Linked DNA regions of Mus musculus: regions 2 and 3 are each reported to be linked to region 1. Evidence: microRNA targets listed by miRTarBase, many of them from high-throughput screens and not tested one by one. Region 1 holds a microRNA gene; each other region holds the end of a gene's coding sequence.

Region 1 (7,201 bases):
ACATCATTCACTTCCTTAGAGTCACACCAACATATTTTATATTATTTGTGGCTATAGTGAAGGGTGTTGTCTCCCTAATTTCTTTCTCATCCTGTTTATCCTTTTTGTAGAGAAAGGCCACTGATTTGTTTGAGTTAATTTTATATCCAGCTACTTCACTGAAGCTGTTTATCAGGTTTAGGAGTTCTCCAGTGGAATTTTTAGGGTCACTTATATATACTATCATATCACCAGCAAATAGTGATATTTTGGCTTCTTCCTTTCCAATTTGTATTCCCTTTATCTCCTTTTGTTGTTGAACTGCTCTGGCTAGGATTTCAAGTACTATATTGAATAGGTAGGGAAAAAGTGGGCAGCCTTGTCTAGTAACTGATTTTAGTGGAATTGCTTCAAGTTTCTCTCCATTTAGTTTGATATTGGCTACTGGTTTGCTGTATATTGCTTTTATTATGTTTAGGCATGGGCCTTGAATTCCTGATCTTTCCATGACTTTTATCATGAAGGAGTGTTTGATTTTGTCAAAAGCTTTCTCAGCATCTGACAAGATGATTTTGTGATTTTTGATTTGAGTTTGTTTACATAGTGGATTACGTTGATGGATTTCCATATATTAAACTATCCCTGCATCCCTGGGATGAAGCCTTCTTGGTCATGATGGATGATCGTTTTGATGTGTTCTTAGATTCGGTTTGTGAGGATTTTACTGAGTATTTTCACATAGATATTCATAAGGGTAATTGGTGTGAAGTTCTCTTTGTTGGATCTTTATGTGGTTTAGGTATCAGAGTAATTGTGGCTTCATAGAATGTATTGGGTAGTGTACCTTCTGCTTCTATTTTGTGGAATAGTTTGAGAAGAACTGGAATTAGTTCTTCTATGAAGGTCTGATAGAATTCTGCACTATACCCATCTGCGTCTCAGCTCTGCCTCCTGACTGGGGATGAAGGCCAAAGGGACCCTGTTCAAGAAGCTCTGTTGCTTCTGCCACCCATGTGCTCTCCTGTGTAGACTGGTCTCAGGGATATCAAGAATACAGTGGAGAAATTCTTGTCTTTTCAAAAATTGTGCTAAAATATTAGATATGTATGTATGTATAAAAATGTGAGCCTAGACATGGATCTTTCAATCTTCATAAGAACCAAGAGTTAATTCAAAATACTTTCTAAACCAAATATATAATGAAAAACTGTAAAATTGCCAGAGGAAAACAACATAAAACCTAGATGACCTTCTTTTCAGATCTAGCACCAAAAGCAAGATCCCTGAAAGAAATGACAAACATGACTTTATTAAAAATGTAAAACTCTGCTCTTCTATATGTAAGAGACTGAGAAGGCAAGATACAGTCTAAAAGAAAAATTTTAAATATTTACATCATAGAGCAATATTACCCACAAATACACAAAGAACTCTTAAAACACAGTGAGAAAATGACCCCTACTAAAATGCTGAAAGGAAAACCTGAACCAGCATTTTATTAATGAAGATATGTAAATTGGATGGTGGTAGTGCCTTCAATCCCAGCACTCAGTGTCGAGGGGTGAGGGAGGAGGGGGCAGAAGCAGGTGGATCTCTGAGTTTGAGGTGAGCCTTGTCAATAGAGTGAATTTCAGAACATTCAGGATTACGTAGAAAAACCCTGTCTCAAAAAGCCGGGCAGGGGGGGGGGCGCGGTGTGGAGGGGGAGAAAACTGTGTGAAGCAGCATTTGAAAGATATTCAACATTATATGTCACCAGGACTTGTAAATTAAACAAAGGTATACGGTACTTCTATTGGAATGACCAGAGCACTGACAACACCAAATGCTCCCAAGGATTTGGAACAATAGGATACCTCATTCACTGCTAGTTGGAAGGCAAAATACTACTTATAAGAGAATATGCCAGGGTCTTTCAATGTTATATATAGAGTCACTACAGAACTCATAAGTCAGGCTCTGATATTAGCCAGAGGAGGTGGCAATGTGGTCACACAGAAACTCAAGCTCAATTGTTCATACTCCCTAGACATAATCACAAAATTGGCACACAATAAAGATGCCTTTTAGGAAAGGAATAATCGCTGGCACATCCAAATGAAGGAATGATTATTGGTTAATTACAAACCTGCGAGGACATGGAAGAATCTAAGTATATATTATTGTTAAGTAAAGAAGTCAATCTGAAAAAGACGATATACTACCATATGATTCCAACAATAAGACTGAGGAAAGGCAAGAACTGTGGAGATGGTAAAAAGATCAGTGGGGTCCAGGAGTTACAGAGAAAGCACTCACCATGACTTTTTGCCTCTAAACCAAATATCACTCAAATTCTCTATTATAGCACAAGACTAAATACATAAAACATTTATATATTTCTATTTTTTACTTATCTTGTCTGAATTTAAGTGTGTTTACTCTGATATCAATAAAATGTGAATATATATATACACATACATATATGCCTCTTTAATAGTAGACATTTGAAATAAAGGACTTTAGTAAATCAATGGACTGTAAGTAGTAGGTGCTGATTTAACACTGTCTTAGTCAGGGTTTCTATTCCTGCACAAAATTCATGACCAAGAAGCAGTTGGGGAGGAAAGGGTTTATTTGGCTTACAATTCCATACTGCTGTTCATCACCAAAGGAAGTCAGGACTGGAACTCAAGCAGGTCAGAAAGCAGGAGCTGATGCAGAAGCCATGGAGGGATGTTCCTTACTGGCTTGCTTCCCCTGGCTTGCTCAGCCTGCTCTCTTATAGAATCAATACTACCAGCCCAGAGATGGTCCCACCCACAAGGAGCCTTTTCCCCTTGATCTCTAATTGAGAAAATGCCTTACAGTTGGATCTCATGGAGGCATTTCCTCAACTGAAGCTCCTTTCTCTGTGATAACTCCAGCTGTGTCAGGTTGACACAAAACTAGTCAGTACAAACACTTTCTATATGCCTGGGATACAGTAGGAAATAAAATATTTCAATTTTCTGTTCTGTTAAAATAGTGAAATGGCTGTATAGTTAATAGATGGAAAACAGTTCCATGAGCAATAACTATCAGCATTGCAGAGTTGATATTGTGATCATCACAAATTGTGCTGTTCTCATATAGTAAATACTGCATATTATTTTGTTGCTTTAAAAATTAGCCGTAGATGATGTGATTAATCTATGATGATTAGACAGCTACTAAGTAATAAAAGACACATGGGGAAAATGAAGGTGACAAGTACAGCTCCTAGTGCACTCTCCTTGTGCTTTTTAGATATATCTATAAGTTTAAAAAGCTGTGCAGAAACAGAAATGCAAGTTCTAGCACACAGATCGCCTGGCATTCAAGAAACTCCAGGACTGTGAAGTTTGCAGTGTGGTCAAGCATCATTATAGGTGAGAGAGCTGGTATTTACCTGTTACCTTAGCCTTCAGAAGAACGTAATGCCTTTTTTCTTGCTCTTGTGTTTGAATCCTATCTATAGTCCTTACTTCCTACCTAATGTCAATCTTTCATAAATATTTTATGAAATGAATAATATATGTTTCATAAATATAATTTCTGAAACATAATAATTTTAGAGTTTAGCAAGACTAGAAAGACCATTGTAGAGTGAAAAATGGTTTTACATCTTAGATGTAATTGCACATTGGCAGACTGGGAAATCTCTGCAGGCAAATGTGATGTCACTGAAGAAACCACACACTTACCTGTAGAGATTCTTCAGTCTGACAACATCAAGCATCAAACCCCTTTATCAAGCAATGATTTTTCTATATTCTCTGCTCTGACATGTACAAAGTCTAGTGAAATAACCGAATGAAGGCTTGTCCATTAAACCTTGGCTTCATCTGAGAGGACTGCATGTCTGATGATGGTTCATTCTCACCAAATTAAGTTGTAAGGTTAATTTGCAACATGGCTTAGGGAAGTGACAATGAGGATGTGACCTAACCATTGTTGGCATCACTCGAAATCCAGTTAGAAATGGGAACACCCACATCAGGACCTCCAATTGGCTCTAGCAATTTTCGCCCAGGTAATGCTGACTGATCTTCCACTTTGTAACCACTGACCAAAAGAAAACAAAAGATCACAGTCAAAAAACTGAACTCAAAATAATCATCTCAAACTAAACAAAATACAAAAAGTGTCCTACTCAGGCTTCTGTTGCTGTGATAAAGCACAGATCAAAAGCAGCTTGGGGGAGGAAAGAGTTTATTTGGCATATAGATCCTGCTCACAGTCCATCACTGAGGAAAGCCCACAGCAGAGCCCATGAAGGGACTCTGCTTACTGGCTTGTTCCCAGGTTCACATTTAGCTACCTTTTACTTCCTATTACTATCTACCCATCTGAAGGAGAGACTGCCCACAGTGGGCTGGGACCTCCCACATCAAACATCAATCAAGAAAATGCCCCAACACACCTAAAGGTCGATCAGGTGGAAGTGATTCCTCCATGGAGACTCCCTCTTCCCAGATATGTCTAAGTTGTCATCAAATGGACAACAAAGATTGACAAAATAATATATATTCACAACTATTGGACTGAGCACGGGGTCCACAATGGAGGAGTTAGGGGAAGGACTAAAGGAGCTGAAGGGATTTGCAACCCATAGGAAGAACAGCAATATCAACCAACCAGACCCCCCAGAGCTCCCAGGGACTAAACCACCAACCAAAGAATATACATGCAGAGACTCTTGGCTCCAGCCGCATATGTAGCAGAGGATTTCGAGGGATGGGGAACCAGAAAAGGAGATAACATTTGAAATTTAAATAAAGAAAATGTCCAATAAAAAATTACTGTCAAGAATGAATGACTTTTGTAAAATGATAGTCTTGATAATACACATGATCATTGATTGGAGGAAGTTTCATCTTCAACTCTTTGCCACTGAGATTACAAAACTCTCCTTAGAAATAAAGAGTTAAGAAATCTATTCAGAAGTAGAGAACGTTTTAGTCTGGGAGGAGTAAAAGGATACTGACATCATTCAAGTTGTGAGCCATAATTCTTATTAGATTGCATTGCTACATTCTTCACACAGCTTTGGAAAGTTATTTCTAAGGTCACAAAATATGCACTTAGCCTGCACACAGAGAAGAAAAATGATTTTACAATGAAATTATTTCAGCCTGGCTCAATAATATTAGGAAGACTTAAGACTTATTCTCTATGAAACATATCTTGGCAAAATAAATGATGACTACATGACTATCTTTTTCAATGTTCTTTGTAGTTTTGCCCTATTAAGAGTTAAATTTGGCAATAAATGATCTACTAAGAAAACTTTTACCTATTTCCTTTGTGTTTAATACTATAAAACTGCATGGCTGAAGGGTAAATTACAATTGCACTTGGCCTCTGACAATGAGTAAATTTCATAATTTTCGTATTATACTTCAAAACAACATATAAACAATTGGTATGCCTGATAACCAGTAACCCCTAGTAGTTTGTTAGGAATTCATCTTCCATTTAACTCTTAACCAATTGATTTTGATTATTTCTGGACCACAGCAATTTCCCATGATGCAATGGAAAATGTAACAACCAAAACTTGAATTAGATCACACACAAAGCATCAATTTACTCAGATCATAATAGTGAGGTTTGGCTCATTCACTGAAAATTGAGAGTTCAGCTCTTCATGGACTCTACAAATAGTGTGGGAGGTCAGCAAGGTGTTTTAAAGAACACTGTGCCTCCTCCCTGAGAACTTTCACTTTGATAAAAATAGAGTGGTTATCTAGCCACCAGACTTTTTGACTTTCACAAATTGACTCAACCTTTCTGCAGTTGCTACAATTCCAGCTGGCATTTGATAATGGTTTAAAAAAAAAGAGCAAGGGTTAACAAATGTATGCAATTGATGGGCAAAATCTTTCAAAACATGGGATTCTACTGGAGAAACAACAACAATAGTAGAGCAATACTAGGAATCTAGCATACTGTTACAATATGGACATGAATATCCAATAGATACTACTGCATGGAGCATGCCATGCATGTGATCTGCCTTTGTTTTCTCACAAACACAATAAAAGTACTAAGAATCCTACTTAGGCTAGGCAGTGGTGGCACGTGCCTTCAATCCCAGCACTCGGGAGGCAGAGGCAGGCATATTTCTGAGTTTGAGGCCATCCTGGTATACAGAGTGAGTTCCAGGACAGCCAGACCTATACAGAGAAACCCTGTCTCAAAACAAACAAACAAAACCAAGAGTCTTACTTAGAGGTTGAAGATGTGGGTCAGCAGTATAGAACACTTGTTGCTCTTCTGGATGACCTAAGTCCAATGCCTAGCACAGCACACAGATGATGGCTTTCAACCACTGGTAACTCCAATCAGAGGCTACCCTGCATCCTTTTCTAGCATCTGTAGGCACTAACCATCTATGTGGTGCACAGGCATACATACATACATACAAAACATTCATGTGTGTGTGTCTATATACATGTATGTATCTATATATATACATATATAGATACACATATACATAAATAGCAAATAAATTAATTTCTAAAAGAGTCATAATTTATGAAGAAAATGAAGTTCAGAAAGGTTCTATATTGGGAAGAGGAAGTTATGTAAGTGTTTACAGCTTGGCATTTTAGAAAAAAAAATGTAGTACAGAAGAACAAGCATGAAACTATGGCTTAGAAAATCTGGACTAAATGTCATCATATTTGTGTCCCATTGCTGGAGAAAGCTCTTGTCAAAAAAAAAAAATGTAGAATGTTGCTTTTGTGTTTGGGGTGAACTGCACAGTCCAGTCATGGCCTAGACTCTATTTCTAGTCCTCCAAGATTGCATCCATACAAGTGAAACTTCAAAGGAGAGGATGCCAATGGGAGGTTCAGTCAGTCTCCTTCAGTGCATCCTAAACACCCTTTCCTCTTTCCTTATCACCTTCTCCAGGTCCTGTTCCTAGTCTGAGCCCTGGTGATCCCAAGAAGACCTTAGGACACACAGCTTTTCCAGAAGAGCTGTGCCAGGTAAATCCATAAGAGCTTTCCTCCTCTTCTTCCAAGGGATGCCAGGGGTTGTAATTAACATCTAATTTAAGTATTTCTCAGAACCCTAGCATTCAGATCTGTAAAGGAAGAGAGTGGCTACTTTACTTAGAATTATTTGTAGAGTGTTGATAATGATGGATGCTACATAGACAGCCCCTTTGGTCCTTGCAATAACTTTATCTGAAGCTTGACTATTAAAGGTT
Region 2 (7,162 bases), not on the chromosome of region 1:
ATTACTTAAACACTGCAGAGCAGTACAGAGTTGAGTGTTTAGTTTGTTAAAATCCTAAAAGTACATTTCTGGTTTTAGTTCGGCCTTCTTCTTGTTCTGTTCTGAGTACCGCCCCAAAATCAAAGGCGAGCATCCTGGCTTATCCATTGGTGATGTTGCAAAGAAACTAGGAGAGATGTGGAACAACACTGCAGCAGATGACAAGCAGCCCTATGAGAAGAAAGCTGCCAAGCTGAAGGAGAAGTATGAGAAGGTAAGGAGGATGACAGGATACCCAGTGTTAGGGGATTATACTTGATAACTCGTCTTATTTCCTCTTTGTTTGCAGGCTTCGTTGTTTTCATACAGGAACGGCCAATAGTGTGTTCAGTTTTCCTATAATCTGATTTGAGCTAAGGCCTTTAAGCTGTTTTAGTTGTATTTCTTAGTATGTATCCAAATTTGGGGGAAATTTGTAGCTACTTTTGGTGAGAATGGTTTCTAAATGGTTATGTGCATACACTACAAAAATAGATTGGGCAAAGTAACTGTACTGCCTATGTGCAAATTATTATATGTTCACTTTGGATTAAAATAAAATTGCTTAAACTTTAAGCTTGCCAAGGTAACTGTCATTAGAATGGAGGAAAATTGTAATTCGTATACATAAATTAAAATACCTAAAAGCTAATTTTTGTTGAGGTAATTTTTTCTGAAAATGTCTATTTTTTTAGATACACACCCCCAACCTCCCCCCAGTTTTCTTCTGTGGATTAAACTCTGGCTGTGAACCTGTAGAATGCTGTTTTGTGTTCAGAAGGTGGCAGTATTACTCTTTGATCAGTCTGCCTTCTAGTCCTCATAAACTAGAATTAGGATGTGGTATATAATTGCACTTCAGTGAGGCATAACAACACAAATATTAGTCTGACATTTCATGAGTTGTAGATTGCAAATTGTTCATTTTTATGTTGCCTTTTCCCTTGGTCTAATTATTTGGGAAGGTACAATGGGCCTGTGTGTTGTGGAGACTTTGTGAAGTTTTATTTTTTGTCTTTGTTTCATTCTCCTCTCCTTGTTTTGGAAGGATATTGCTGCCTACAGAGCTAAAGGAAAACCTGATGCAGCGAAAAAGGGGGTGGTCAAGGCTGAAAAGAGCAAGAAAAAGAAGGAAGAGGAAGATGATGAGGAGGATGAAGAGGATGAGGAAGAGGAGGAAGAAGAGGAAGACGAAGATGAAGAAGAAGATGATGATGATGAATAAGTTGGTTCTAGCGCAGTTTTTTTTTCTTGTCTATAAAGCATTTAACCCCCCTGTACACAACTCACTCCTTTTAAAGAAAAAAATTGAAATGTAAGGCTGTGTAAGATTTGTTTTTAAACTGTACAGTGTCTTTTTTTGTATAGTTAACACACTACCGAATGTGTCTTTAGATAGCCCTGTCCTGGTGGTATTTTCAATAGCCACTAACCTTGCCTGGTACAGTCTGGGGGTTGTAAATTGGCATGGAAATTTAAAGCAGGTTCTTGTTGGTGCACAGCACAAATTAGTTATATATGGGGACAGTAGTTTGGTTTTTTGTTTTTTTTTTTTTTTCTTTTGGTTTTCTTTTTGGGTTTTATTTTTTTCATCTTCAGTTGTCTCTGATGCAGCTTATACGAAGATAATTGTTGTTCTGTTAACTGAATACCACTCTGTAATTGCAAAAAAAAAATTGCGGCTGTTTTGTTGACATTCTGAATGCTTCTAAGTAAATACAATTTTTTTTATTAGTATTGTTGTCCTTTTCATAGGTCTGAAAGTTTTCTTCTCAAGGGGAAGCTAGTCTTTTGCTTTGCCCATTTTGGGTCACATGGATTATTAGTGTGTTATCTTTCATCTAGTTAGCTGGAAGAGAGCTTTTGTCCACATGCCCTGCCATTGTGGTAGGGTAACATTTTCATCCATAGTTGAAGAATCTCCTAAATCGTGATAGTTGGATAAGAGATATTATATAACCTACTTGGCAAAGCAAGGAGTGATCAATACTGTCACACCGTGGGACTATTAGGATCAAGCAATCTGAACGTCTGTCCTTGAAGGACTGATAGAAAAGTACCTTCTAATCCTTACACGAGGACTCTCCTTTAACCGCCATTACTGTGTAATGACAGTTATATTTTGCAGTTTCCCCTACTAAAGAAGACCTGAGAATGTATCCCCAAAAGTGTGAGCTTAAAATACAAGACTGCTGTACTATTTGTTGACCTTAGTCCCAGCGAAGGCTATCACAAGAACGCTGGCTGTAAAGCCTTTGCCCTTCTATCTAGATATGGATTGCTCAGGAAACTTGACTGTTTAAAGGTATTTTTAATTACTTGAGCCAGCTTTTAAAATTATGCCACATTTAAAATGAAGGGTATATTTTCCTATACTGTGGTTTGTCCCTTTATGAATCAGATACAAGAGGATAAACTTTGCATATTAGTACCATTTGTCCAATACATTTGCTTTTTCTTTATAAAACCCAAACTCATTCATTAATCAGGTTTAATCTGCTTAGTTTAGGGAACAATTTGGCAATTTTGTGGATTTTTTTTTGAGATTATCGTTCTCTTAAAGTGCCAGTGTTTTAAATAGCGTTCTTGTAATTTCACGCGCTTTTGTGATGGAGTGCTGTTATATAATTTTGACTTGGGTTCTTTACATTTGCGTTGTTAATGTAATTTGAGGAGGAATACTGAACATGAGTCCTGGATGATACTAATAAACTAATAATTACAGAGGTTTTAAATATTAGTTAAATGACTTTCACTTAAGAATTTAAGCTTTTGGTCACACTTTATAATAGTGCCTTATAGTATAAACAACTGAAAGGCTCTTTCCCATTAACAACCCTTGATGCTGGGGCCAGTGAGATAGTGGGTAAAAAGGCAGTTGGCTGCCAACCCTGACAACCGATGGCAAAAGGAGGGAACCAGCTTCCAAAATGCTTTGACCAAATGCTCCCTCCATTCATGAACACAGTTTTAAAATGTTAAATAGGCTAGAGGGCAGTAAAAACAGGTTTTTTTATCGAGCATCCCTAATCTATACATATGAGGAGCCATAATCTGAATGTTAAGTGAAAAGCGAGGTTGGTCTTAAAGATTGCACGTGTGTTCTTAAGCCTGTAGAGGACCTCCGCAGGCCGTAATGGTCTCGATTACCAACTTAAGAACAAGTGACTGGCTTGGAAACTTGTACTGTTGCTTTAGAACTACCATTGTGGACATCTGTTGTTAGTAAGTGATCCATTTAAAAGTGAACTCTGCCTCAAGGAAACGTCTTTGTAACTTTAGTGGGTGTGTCGCGACAGCTACCCTTTTAAAGATGTTAAGAATGGGAACAGTTTGCCTTGCTTAACCAGCTTCAGATCCTGACTTCAAGAAATGGAACAACAAAAAAAAACCTCTTTAAATTTGAGAAGGAGTTCTGTTCAGCATCTAAGCTGTATCCCTTGGAACTATGTGTATTGACTCTTAGGGCTGAAATTTACAGATTTTAGTATTAGGTTTTAATGTAGGTCTTGCCTGGGCTCACTATGTAGCAGAAGGTTGGTTCCTGCCTCCACTTCCCAAGTGCTGTGATGATTGGTATGTGTCACCATTCCTGGTAGGATTTCTGTATTTTAAAAGTGACACATGCCACTATTTCTGATAATCATTTCATACCCACTATATATATATATATATATATAGTGGGTATGAAATGATTATATCAATATATATATTGGCCACCAAGTATAGCTCTGGTGCAGTGCATTGAACTGTACAGGAAAGAAAGTACCAGTCTCTTTGGCCAAGCACTGCCACCCAGTATCACTGCAAATCTGGGCACGGTCACAGCATAAGTTCAAACCATTAAGCGAACCATTGACTGGTGGCTAGGTCCATCAATAAGGGACTGTGACAAGTTCCTTAAGCTTGTTTTTCCATTTACATCAATTCCCATGATCCTTGAAATACCTCTTGATACTGGGTAGAAGACAGAAAGCCGTTTGGGTGGCCACATCATCCCTAAGTACAGCAGTGCTAATGATTTCGGGAAATTCCCTGGGGTTCAGCCAAGTTACTTCCTTGAGTGAAGAGGCAATGTTGCTGGGCTCCAGTAATGCAATTCCAGGATACTCGATGGCACAGAAAACGCAAACCACATACAACAGTCTACCACACTCGAAACACCATCTGTCCGGAGGAAACCATCCCAGGCGGCATGGAAATTGGTTTGGACCCTAAATGCTGGAGTCTACTGGACATTAGTGGAAAATGACGTAGTGATGCAGCTATAGAATATAGAATCTCGGGGGTTGGGAGCTAGAATCCAGGGCTAGAGCATCAGGAGAGAGTTGGGGTTATAGTCAGGAAGTGTGTGCTTAGAGTCTGGGTTTCCAGTTTCCCCTACCCACCACCAAATTTAGGAAAGAGGGGGGAAGGACAGACAGATGTTTATAAAGGTATATGGTATATAAATTTTTTTCATTTTAAAATAATTTTTTGAGACAAGGTCTCACTATGTCAACCAGGCTGGCTCATAAAGGTAAAAGATCCACATATTTCTGCCTCCCTAGTGCTGAGATTAAAGATGCATATCACCACTTCTAGCTTTTTTTTTTTTTTCTGAAGTGCCTGTGTGTATTTTGCCCACGTGTATGTATGCACCACATGCGTGCAGTGCCCATGAAAGCCAGAAGAGGACTTCGGGTCTCCTGAAACAGTTACGAGCTGCCTTCTGGGTGGTGGGAATTGAAACCAGGTTCTGTGAGAGAACAGTAAGGGCTCTTTACAACCAAGCTGGACTTGCCCATTCCGTTTTGTCCATCTGTTTGTGTGAGCCAGGGTCTTATGTAGTTCAGGCTGGCTTTGAACTCACTGTGCACCTCAAGGTGGTCCTGAGTAGTAATGAGACGTATAAGTGGACGTCCATAGTCTTAATGTCTCATGGTCCGATTCCTTTCTGGGAGACACCCACTGTTTGCCTTTTCCTCTCAGGCATTTGTACATATTCAGAGTAAATGTCTCAAAGGAGGACTGCTGAGTCAAAAGATAGTTGGATTCAACATTTTGGCAGATATCAATAAATTGCCCCCCAAAAGTGTGCTTACACTGCAACATTTTAACATGGACTTTATGACAGAATTTTATCAGTTCTTTGGATCCATGAAAAAAAAAACTTTTTAAGTTTTGTTTGGTTTGGTTTTAGTGTTTTTGTTTTGTTTATTTTTTTCTTTTGTTTTGTTTTTTGACAGGCTTGCTTTCCTAGCTGTCCTGGAACTCCTCCTAAGTGCTGGTATTAAAGGCATGTGCCATGATACTGGACAGGAGCCTTTATTTCTTAAAAAAACGAAATCTTTTATCTAGAGTTCCCTACAGACATAATCAGGAACGCAGGCTGAATCAGAGCTGGAAGACTTGCAATGGCTCTGGCTAACTTGCTACAAGTTTTGGCCATCACTAGGTATTAAATCATTGTGTGGCACCGAGGAGCTTCCGAGTTTTAGGTCCTTGATCTTAAACAGAAGTGTCTGGTGTTTCTATGGAGAGGGAGGCTCAGTCTTAACAAAAGCTGCAGCAAACAGGTTTGGAAAGGTGGCGGTGGGCAAGGGTTAGGGTTAGGGTTAGGGTTAGGGTGTGTGTGTGTGTGTGTGTGTGTGTGTGTGTGTGTGTGGTGTGTGGTGGAGAGGTAGGGGTAAAGCAGTGGGGTGGGTGTACAATAGAACTGAGACTGGATTCTACCCTCAGTGGACGGAGGGTGCTTGTTTGTGAAGGTGGAACAGACCATACGTCTGGCTTTGGTAGGATAAAGGTCACCGTGCTTCATTTTCCTTGCTGAGAGTGGTACTTCAGGGTAGTGAACAACCTTCCAGAGCATTTACAAACACAACCCTAGTTGCAGCATTTAATTAGGTAGGCTTAGTTGCTTAGATTTTTATAGAATCACTAGTTAGTGGCTATTTTGGTTACTAGTTTCAATGACAGGTCATCTTTTTAAAAATTACATGTGTGTGCATACTATGGCACACAGTCAGACCAGAGGTCAACTTGTGCGAGTCAGGTCTCTCCTACCACCATGTGGTCCTGAGGATTGAATTTGAGTCTCCAGACTTTGTAGCAAGCTCCTTTAGTCACTGAACCATCTCAATAGTCCAAGGTCCTCTTCTCAGCAGTTAAGAGCACTGACTGCTCTTCCAGAGGTCCTGAGTTCAATTCCCAGCAACCACACGGTGGCTCACAACCATCTGTAATGGGATCGGATGCACTCTCCTGGTGCGTGTCTGAAGACAGCTACAGTGTACTCATATAAATAAAAATAAAATAAATCTTTTAAAAAGTAGTTTAAACATCAAGCAAGAACATTAAAAACAAAAACAAGAGACGTAAGTTACTTTCTGGATGTCAGAGTATTAAGGTAAGGAAAAGATACTCGGGTCCTTTAACTGCTGTGTAGTATACCCAGAGAGCCTGAAGGACAAGACCTTGGAGGCTCCATAGAGCAGACACTGCTATTGTTCACCCAGTGTGTGTTTCCCGACTGGCTCCACCATATGTCATGAGGACTTGTCTGCGTGGGGCTTTGGCACAGGGAACAGGTTAGGCACATGATGGCTCAAATACAGACTAGATAGCCTCTTTTGACAAGAGGAAAAAACGTCCTTTCTTTGGAGGCCAAACACTGCCACCCAGTATCACTGCAAATCTGGGCACGGTCAACTTCAAGGCACAGCACAGCACCAGTCCCAGGTCATGGCATGTTAGATGCAAAGAGGCCATAGGGCAACTGCAGTCTAGCCTGGGCCTTTTTCCACAGTAGTAGACAGTGGCCCATGGAGATTTGGAGGACAGCTGCCTGTAGTATCAGTATCCTGAAATATGCCCCCCCACCCCTCCCTGCTCCTTCCTCGACTTCACCACCTAGACTCTCTCTTCCTGCTATGCTTCTTTAATTTGACATATGGGGACAGCTAACACTGCGGTTACACCTGCAGCAGAATCTTCCAGAAGATCATAGAAAGGACGGCGGCTACGCACACCACAGAAACTGCTGAAAAACTTTGCCAGGCATGGTGGTGCGTGCTTTTAGTTCCAGCACTCAGGAGACAGAGGCAGGAGGATCTCTATGAGTTAGTTCAAGGCATCCTGGTCTGCACAATGAGACTCTTGTCAC
Region 3 (7,193 bases), not on the chromosome of region 1:
AAAGAATATGGAGAGTAGGTAGGCATCATATGCTGGGCACAGGAAAGATCAAGGATCACCAGCCAGAGGACATCCATTCGTGAGTACGAAGGGCAGGCACCTTCAGAGGCTAAGGCATGACTTAATACACCTTCAACATACCTGTGCCTTTATTCTCAGCTAAAACTTCTTGGTCCTCAGCTGGCAAGATGGCTCAGTGGTTACGAGCACTTGCTCTAGAAGAGGACCTGGGGTGAGTTTCCAGCACCCCCACACGTGGTGTTTCACACTATTGGTAACTCCAGTACTCTCTTCTGGTCTCCATAAGCATACACATGTGATGCGCAGACTCACATGCAAACTAAACACCCATTCTTTTCTTTTTCTTTTTTTTTTTTTTTTTTTTTTTTTTTTTTTTTTTGGTTTTTCAAGACAGGGTTTCTCTGTATCCCTGGCTGTACTGGAACTCACTCTGTACTCTGTAGACCAGGCTGGCCTCGAACTCAGAAATCCGTCTGCCTCTGCCTCCGGAGTGCTGGGATTAAAGTCGTGCGCCACCACGCCCAGCTAGGAATCTACTTCTTAGCTGAGCATGCTTCTAAATGAACTCACCCTCAAAGGACTACGTAAGAGGTGCCTGGGATAAACTCCCAGTGCTTCTTTTGTGGAGAAAGGACAATGCTTTGGCAAGGAGTCTCATGCTTTCTATATACGATGTCAACACTCTAAATTTTCTGAAGTAAAATTGTTCTAAACTTTATCTACCAATTAACTGTGAGCACAATGAGTAATAACTTCGGCTAATCACTGAAATAACCAGATATCACACCTAAATGTATAAAGCTTTTATTTCAAATTAGACAGACTCAAATACAAATGAAGAGCACAATATAAAATAGAAAAGCCTTCATAAAACAGACTTCAGCCACCTTAAGTCTTACTGTTTGTACCAACATTGAAAAAAAATCAAGAAATGGTGCAAAATCAAATTATCTTTAAACTCTTCTTGCCGACACTAATGATAATCTGGAACACGGGGCTGCAATGTTGTAAAGTGGTACCGTGCTTTGTCTAGCATGCTAGCACCACACACACAAATATTACAAAACATCCAAAGAAATGTACTGACAAGGCCACTCTAAGGAGCAATCCCCTCTATCCACTAAAATTAATGAAAAGAATTAAAGTCCAGTGTGATTCCACCCATTAACAATAAGAAGCGCCTCGGCCTAGAAAGATGGGGGTCAGTTTCTCTCCAGGACTATGAGGCCCACCTTGTTTACATGACGCTTAACTGTAATATGGCACAATAGACTTTATCACCAAAATTCTCAATTTAAATGTTTCTGTGCCTATAGTCCCAACTACTCTGGAGGTTGAGGCAAGAGGATCATTTGGGGCCAGGAGTTCAAGACCAACCCTAGACAACATAATGAGACCCTCACCTCAAAAAAAGAAAAAAAAAATTGAAAATGTTCCTTACAAACTACTTCTGCTTCACTTCAAGAACAAGGGCGCCACGGCTGGGCACGGTAGTGCATGCCTTTAATCCCAGCACTTGGGAGGAAGAGGCAAACACAATCTCTGAGTTCTAGGCCAGCCTGGTCTACAGAGTGAGTTCCAGGACAACCAGGGCTTTTTAGACAGACCCTGTCTCAAAAAAATAAAAGTACTATGTATTTAAAGTTAAAAACATAACTACAATAAACTTCTTTTAACACAGATGTGGCAAAATAAGAATATACATTAATCCCAGCACTTGGGAGTCAGAGGCAAGCAGATTTCTGAGTTCGAGGCCAGCCTGGTCTACAAAGTGAGTTCCAGGACAGCCAGGACTATACAGAGAAACCCTGTCTCGAAAAAAAGAAAAACAAAACAAAACAAAGAATATACATTAAACAACCGTGTAACTGAGCCTCGTATTTCTTTATGAATGGAAACTAATCCAATGACTGCTTTCCCCTTCCCACTTCAGGAAAAATATATATTATTATTATAAATCCAATCTTAATATTTTACATAAAAAAATTACCAAGAGAGATAGTATAATATTTAAAGCTGTATATTCCTGAAAGCATTTATGAAAAGTAGAAGACTTGCCATAAATAGATAACAGAAAAGTTATGATGCTTGTGTTTTGAAAATAACCTAAACTAAACCCAGGGAAAACATACAGTCAAGAACAGCACCATATAATCAAAGAACAGAGTTATTTACAAATAAACAACCATGTGGCCAAACATTTTCTAAAACATGCATACTATAGTGTCCTATATAGTTAGACGTATAAGGGCAAACTATTTGAATATTATCAGCTGTCATGATTAGATCTTTCTCACACCAGGAGTGTAAAATTCTTACCATCTGTTGCTCTATAAAAGGCAACATGAAGCATCAAATTCAGTATTTCTTGAGAAAATTTTATCTGCTTTGGTAATCTATAAGATTAGCTGTCATCAAATAAATGATTAAGATACAGTGATTCTTTCCTAAAATTTTAACTTTACTATTGCTGTTGGTGGCCCAGGTTAGCCTGAATCTCACTATGTAGCTGAAGGTGGCCCTGAACTCTCAGATCCTCCTGCCTCGGCATCCCAAGTGCTGTGATTACAAGTGTGTATCGCTGCTGGGCTGTGATGCTGCATGCCTTTAATTCGAGCACTCGTTAGGCAAAGGCAGGAGGATCTCTGAGTTAGAGGCTAGCCTGGTCTACAGAGCCACGTCTCAAAAAACAAAAAACAAACAAAAAAACGAAGTGTGCACTGCCATTTCCGGCTGCTATTATTGCTTCATACAAACAACTTTAAGAAAGTCCCATTTGGTTTTTTTGGAGAACATTCATTCAAGGTTCTGAAAGATTTAGCTGTTTGCTACAACTCTGCCATTAAAGGGCCTCTCTTAAAAGCTGTTTTTCCTGTTTAAAATGCAGCAACTTACTCATTCCTGTAAAGATGGACAGAGAAGGTTATGGAAAGCTTGAAATACACGAACATGTTTCCAGTTTACTGCTGGCTACCGCAACCTTACACAGGCTGGTTATCATCCCTGGGTTGCTGTTTCCTCTGCACAATGAAACAGTCAGTCGCTGCCATAAGGCCAGCATCTCTTTTACATTGTACAATAATAATAGCGATAATAATAACAACAATAGTAATGGCAACAGATAATCTCAAGATTCCTTCTGATTTTCACAGGGTATGACGAGTTTTTTTTTTTTTTTTTTTTTTTTTTTTTTGCGGGGGGGTGGTGGTAGGAGGCTTGTGGGCGTTTTGTTTGGTTTCGTTTCGTTTTTTGAAACAGGGTTTCTCTGTGTAGACCAGGCTGGTCTCAAACTCAGAGATCTGCCTGTATCTGCCTCGTCGCACAGGCTGAGACTAAAGGCATGTGCCAGTCTTGCCTGCCTATGTGGTACAAGTTTATGCCTCTGCAGTAACTCGAAGTGACAAGTCCTCCATAATGCGAGAATGTATCTGAGCCAAAGCAGCACAGCTGAACAAAAATCTCTTATCAAAAAAAGCCAAGTTCAAAGTTCAACTCCCCAGACTCCCTAGTCTGTTCCCTTCCCAGCCAGACTAATAAATAATCCAGAGTCACATAAATTACTATCCCTTAGTTACCTTTAAATTCTATAAACCAATAAAAATACGTTAGGTCTCTGTCTTAGTTTTCCTACATTCTGGCATATTGCATTTTCACCTATAGTCAAGATTCTCTGCAGCTCGAAGCAGGCGACTTCACATTCCCATACTTCTAAACTGAGATAAAATAAGAGAGAGGTAGAGCAGAATATGAGCAATTAGCATATTCTGCCAAGTTTTTCACAAAAAAAATATGTTGAATGCCATTTTCAGACTAGAAAACCAGACAAAAGAACAATAAGTTCTGCTGACAGTGTCTATCAGATGAAATGGCTAGATCTGACTAGATTCCATGACTTAAGAAAAGGAAAAAGCAACTACCAGAACGGCGCTCTGGGACGCTCAACCGTAGCGCTGGAGCCACTTTTCTGAAATTAATGTGCCGTGAAACAGTTTTGGTGCTACCTCAGTGAGATGTTTTTCTTTACCTGTGGGCAGCAAATGAGGCACTTAACTGTAAAAATAGAAAAATAAGAAAAATTCTTATTGCCTATTGAAAAAGGAATAAAAAAGGTAGGGTTGAGGGACGGTTTACAAACACCTGTCAGCTCCAGGTTCAAGGGAGCTGACACCCACCTCTGGCTTCCTCCAGCAGGCACACACACATACATAAATACTCTCCCTTGCACATATACACACACAAATTCTCACACACAAACACACACACTCTCTCTTTCACACACACAAGCTCTCACATACACATACAAGTTCTCACACATACACAGCACACACATATATACTCTCTCACACATACACACATATTCTCATACACTCAGACAGACACTATCACACACACAAACACACGCATACAAATTAAGTATTTTAAAAGAAATGCAAAATTATAAAAGGTAATTATTATTCAGAGTTAACTTTTCAGTTTTAATCAATCAAGCATTCAATAGTACACATCTATACTAGAGGAAATAGTTTGAACTCAAGACTTGTTCTGTTTATAAAACCCAGAAAACATGTCCTTGTCAAAGGACTCTGGATTTCTGAGAATGAAATGCAAGCCTTCTCAACCTGAGTACTATGTGTTTATGAATTCAGCTCGCCATAAGGTAGAGCTGTTCCTCTCAGCAAGTACCACATGGTCCTCAACTCTATTCTGGAAGGACCAGAACTTTTGTTTTTATATACTTTCAATTAAAGGGCTCTAATGGCTTTAATAGAATAATGGATGATATTAGCACCTACTTTTAACCAGGTTGTCCTTGAACTCATGGGAGCTGCCTGTTTCTGCTTCCCAAGCACTGGGATTAAAGGCATGCGCCACCAAGCCCAGCTGGATTTATCTTTTCTTAGTCACCAGTACATTGTCCTTCGAATATGGCACTTTTCAGAGATTAGATAAAAAAAATTCTTCAGGAAAAAAACAACATTTGCAGTCTATCAGGATTTTAAACGTTCTTCACTAAGGGACAAAGGTCACGAGTGAAATAAGGACTGAGACACAGCTCCATGGGGCATGCACAGGGCTGTAACTCCTGTGGTCCACAGACACACACACACACACTGTGAAGTGTAGCTTTGGCTCTTCTGGTGAAGTATATATAGAAATAAAAGCAAGACCATAATGATGAATACATATTGATTTCTTACGATCTACTTCTTCCCCAAAGTATTGGCACATAAATGTCAACAGCCTAAAAGAGTACATAATGAAAAGAGGCATTTGAACAGCATGGTTCCAAGTGACTAACTCTATGTCTCCTTTCTCCATAGCAAAGAGAAAGATACTTGCCCGAGCAAGCTTGATTTTAATCCTGATGGAATACCTTACTTCAAAACTGATCCACAAATTAGCTAATGTTTGTCATGAGGCAATTTAATCACCCACTTAAAAGTCTTACGATCTGGGAGTTAGGTGAGCAGCTCAATGGCCGGGCACATGCTGACCATTCTCCAGGCTCAGACTTTTAAATGCCAGCACGCACACATAAGGCACGCGCGCGCACACACACACACACACACACACACACACACACACACTAAACCTTATTCTCCCTAAGTGTTCTTATACAAGAAGGCTTTCCTTAACACAAAGGGTGGAAAGCCACAGTTTTAGGCCAAGGAGACTGCCTGGGAAATTTCACTTTTCCATAGTCCTCACCCTAGCCGTGCCTTACATATTCCATCCCTTACCATGTGACTAACAAGAGCCAAGTTCTCCTACTTAAATCACCAAAACTACTGCAAGGAACTGTTCCTGAAAGGCAGTACGGATGTAAAGGAAACATTATTGGTGTAATTATTAAGAAATAAAGTGCATATGCCTTTTAATATCAATATTGTTTAGTACAGTAGTACAATGAAAATGAAGACGTAGTTCAGTAGCTAATATCTAAAAAGTGTGGGACAAGGAAACAAGTTGTATATAAATAATAACAAAATGGGGGAAAGGGTTGCTCCCCTGCAAAAGAGACACTTGAAAACATAAGAAAATCGAATTGAATTTCTGCTCCCCAGTAAATCAGACAGGCTGCACAGTGACACCCACATGCAACCCCTGAAAGGCAGGGTCACACTCCGGAGGCTGCCCTTGGGCTTCTTCGTTTAACTGACAATTCTCTGGCGTCTGGCTAATTTCATCCTGTGAAGTAGAGGCCACTCTATGAGTCTCACTGTCAGAGGAGGCGTCAAACCTTTCCGGAGAACAAGCGAGGTGACGCTTACCGTCTCCTGCCACATCGTCAGAATCGGCCGCCTCTGCGGCATCGTCCAGCTGCTGGACGGAGGTTAAATACTGTTGGAGCAGAGTGTTGTCCTGCTCACTGGCTGAGCTCTCCCTACTGCAGTCACTGTGCTCCTCGGCTGTGGCCTCCGAGTCTCGGTCTTTGACGCATTTCACCGTGTCAGCGGAATTCCCCAACACGGAGTTTTCGCTGCTTTCTACCGAACTCTTTTCAAAATCCAACGAATCCTGCAGACAGGGAACTTGCTCTGTCAGGGAGGAGTGAAACCCAGAGTCGGGAAAGTCTGGCGCTGATCTCCCTTGCGCAGCTTCGTCCTCAGCAACGAGCCAGTCCGAACTCTGATCCGAAGAGGGGTCCTGATGATGTGGAAATAACGGGGGCTTGGGTGACGCCAGAGTACTTGATATAGGAGGCACGTCGGGCGGCCAGGAAGCCAGACGCTGTTCCACTGTCTGCTGCCAAGCTTGTACAGATCTTACCTGGAAACCAGGACACACAGTTTTAGTAGAAAGTAAACAGCCTGTCTTTTTTAAATGTCCAGAGCTTTTCCCCCACAGAAGTCCTGCAGTTGCCTGCATTCATTACCCGTCTAATCCCTTCACAGGGCTGACCCCAGCCTAACTGGGCAGGCACAGTGTTTTATGTCCTTGGCAGCAAAGCGTAACCCCCAGCACGAGAGGAAGGCCATAGCAGTTCTCCTGCTTCACGGGAGAAATACGACAGCATCTTTCTCACTAACGGATCGATAATGTGCAAAATATAGACAACATCTAGTCGATAAGGGCCGATTAGCACCTCTGAGTCTAAGTGCATCTTCTAAAATGAGTCTATTTTAGATATAGATGCAGACATGGGGTTTCCAGTTATTTTAAAATGTAGT

Evidence for each region. Region 1 holds the annotated microRNA mmu-miR-216b-5p (AAAUCUCUGCAGGCAAAUGUGA, at 3,636-3,657, shown strand). A microRNA usually pairs through its seed, bases 2 to 8, with sites in the 3' UTR of a target mRNA and lowers its output. Matches are read on the target gene's strand: a 7mer-m8 pairs with bases 2 to 8, a 7mer-A1 pairs with bases 2 to 7 and ends in A, and an 8mer does both.
Region 2: the mRNA of Hmgb1 is a reported target of mmu-miR-216b-5p. Seed matches in the 3' UTR shown: 7mer-A1 at 2,561-2,567.
Region 3: miRTarBase lists Cep97 as a target of mmu-miR-216b-5p. Seed matches in the 3' UTR shown: 7mer-m8 at 3,478-3,484, 7mer-A1 at 3,144-3,150 and 7mer-m8 at 1,559-1,565.

Annotation. Positions count from the first base shown.
Region 1 is chr11:28,742,569-28,749,769 of GRCm38, forward strand. It overlaps Mir216b (microRNA 216b), which reads left to right and starts at 3,623; the gene lies at 3,623-3,708. It overlaps Mir217hg (a long non-coding RNA gene), which reads left to right. Exons shown (of 3, transcript XR_381119.3): 2 at 6,901-6,977. It overlaps Mir216c (microRNA 216c), which reads right to left and starts at 3,698; the gene lies at 3,630-3,698.
Region 2 is chr5:149,042,818-149,049,979 of GRCm38, reverse strand. It overlaps Hmgb1 (high mobility group box 1), which reads left to right. Exons shown (of 5, transcript NM_010439.4): 4 at 79-253; 5 at 1,067-3,278. The coding sequence ends at 1,243. Among named protein-coding and RNA genes, the nearest start is that of Hmgb1, 6.7 kb to the left of the region's middle.
Region 3 is chr16:55,899,078-55,906,270 of GRCm38, forward strand. It overlaps Cep97 (centrosomal protein 97), which reads right to left. Exons shown (of 11, transcript NM_028815.4): 11 at 811-6,792. The coding sequence ends at 6,091. Among named protein-coding and RNA genes, the nearest start is that of Nxpe3, 7.4 kb to the left of the region's middle.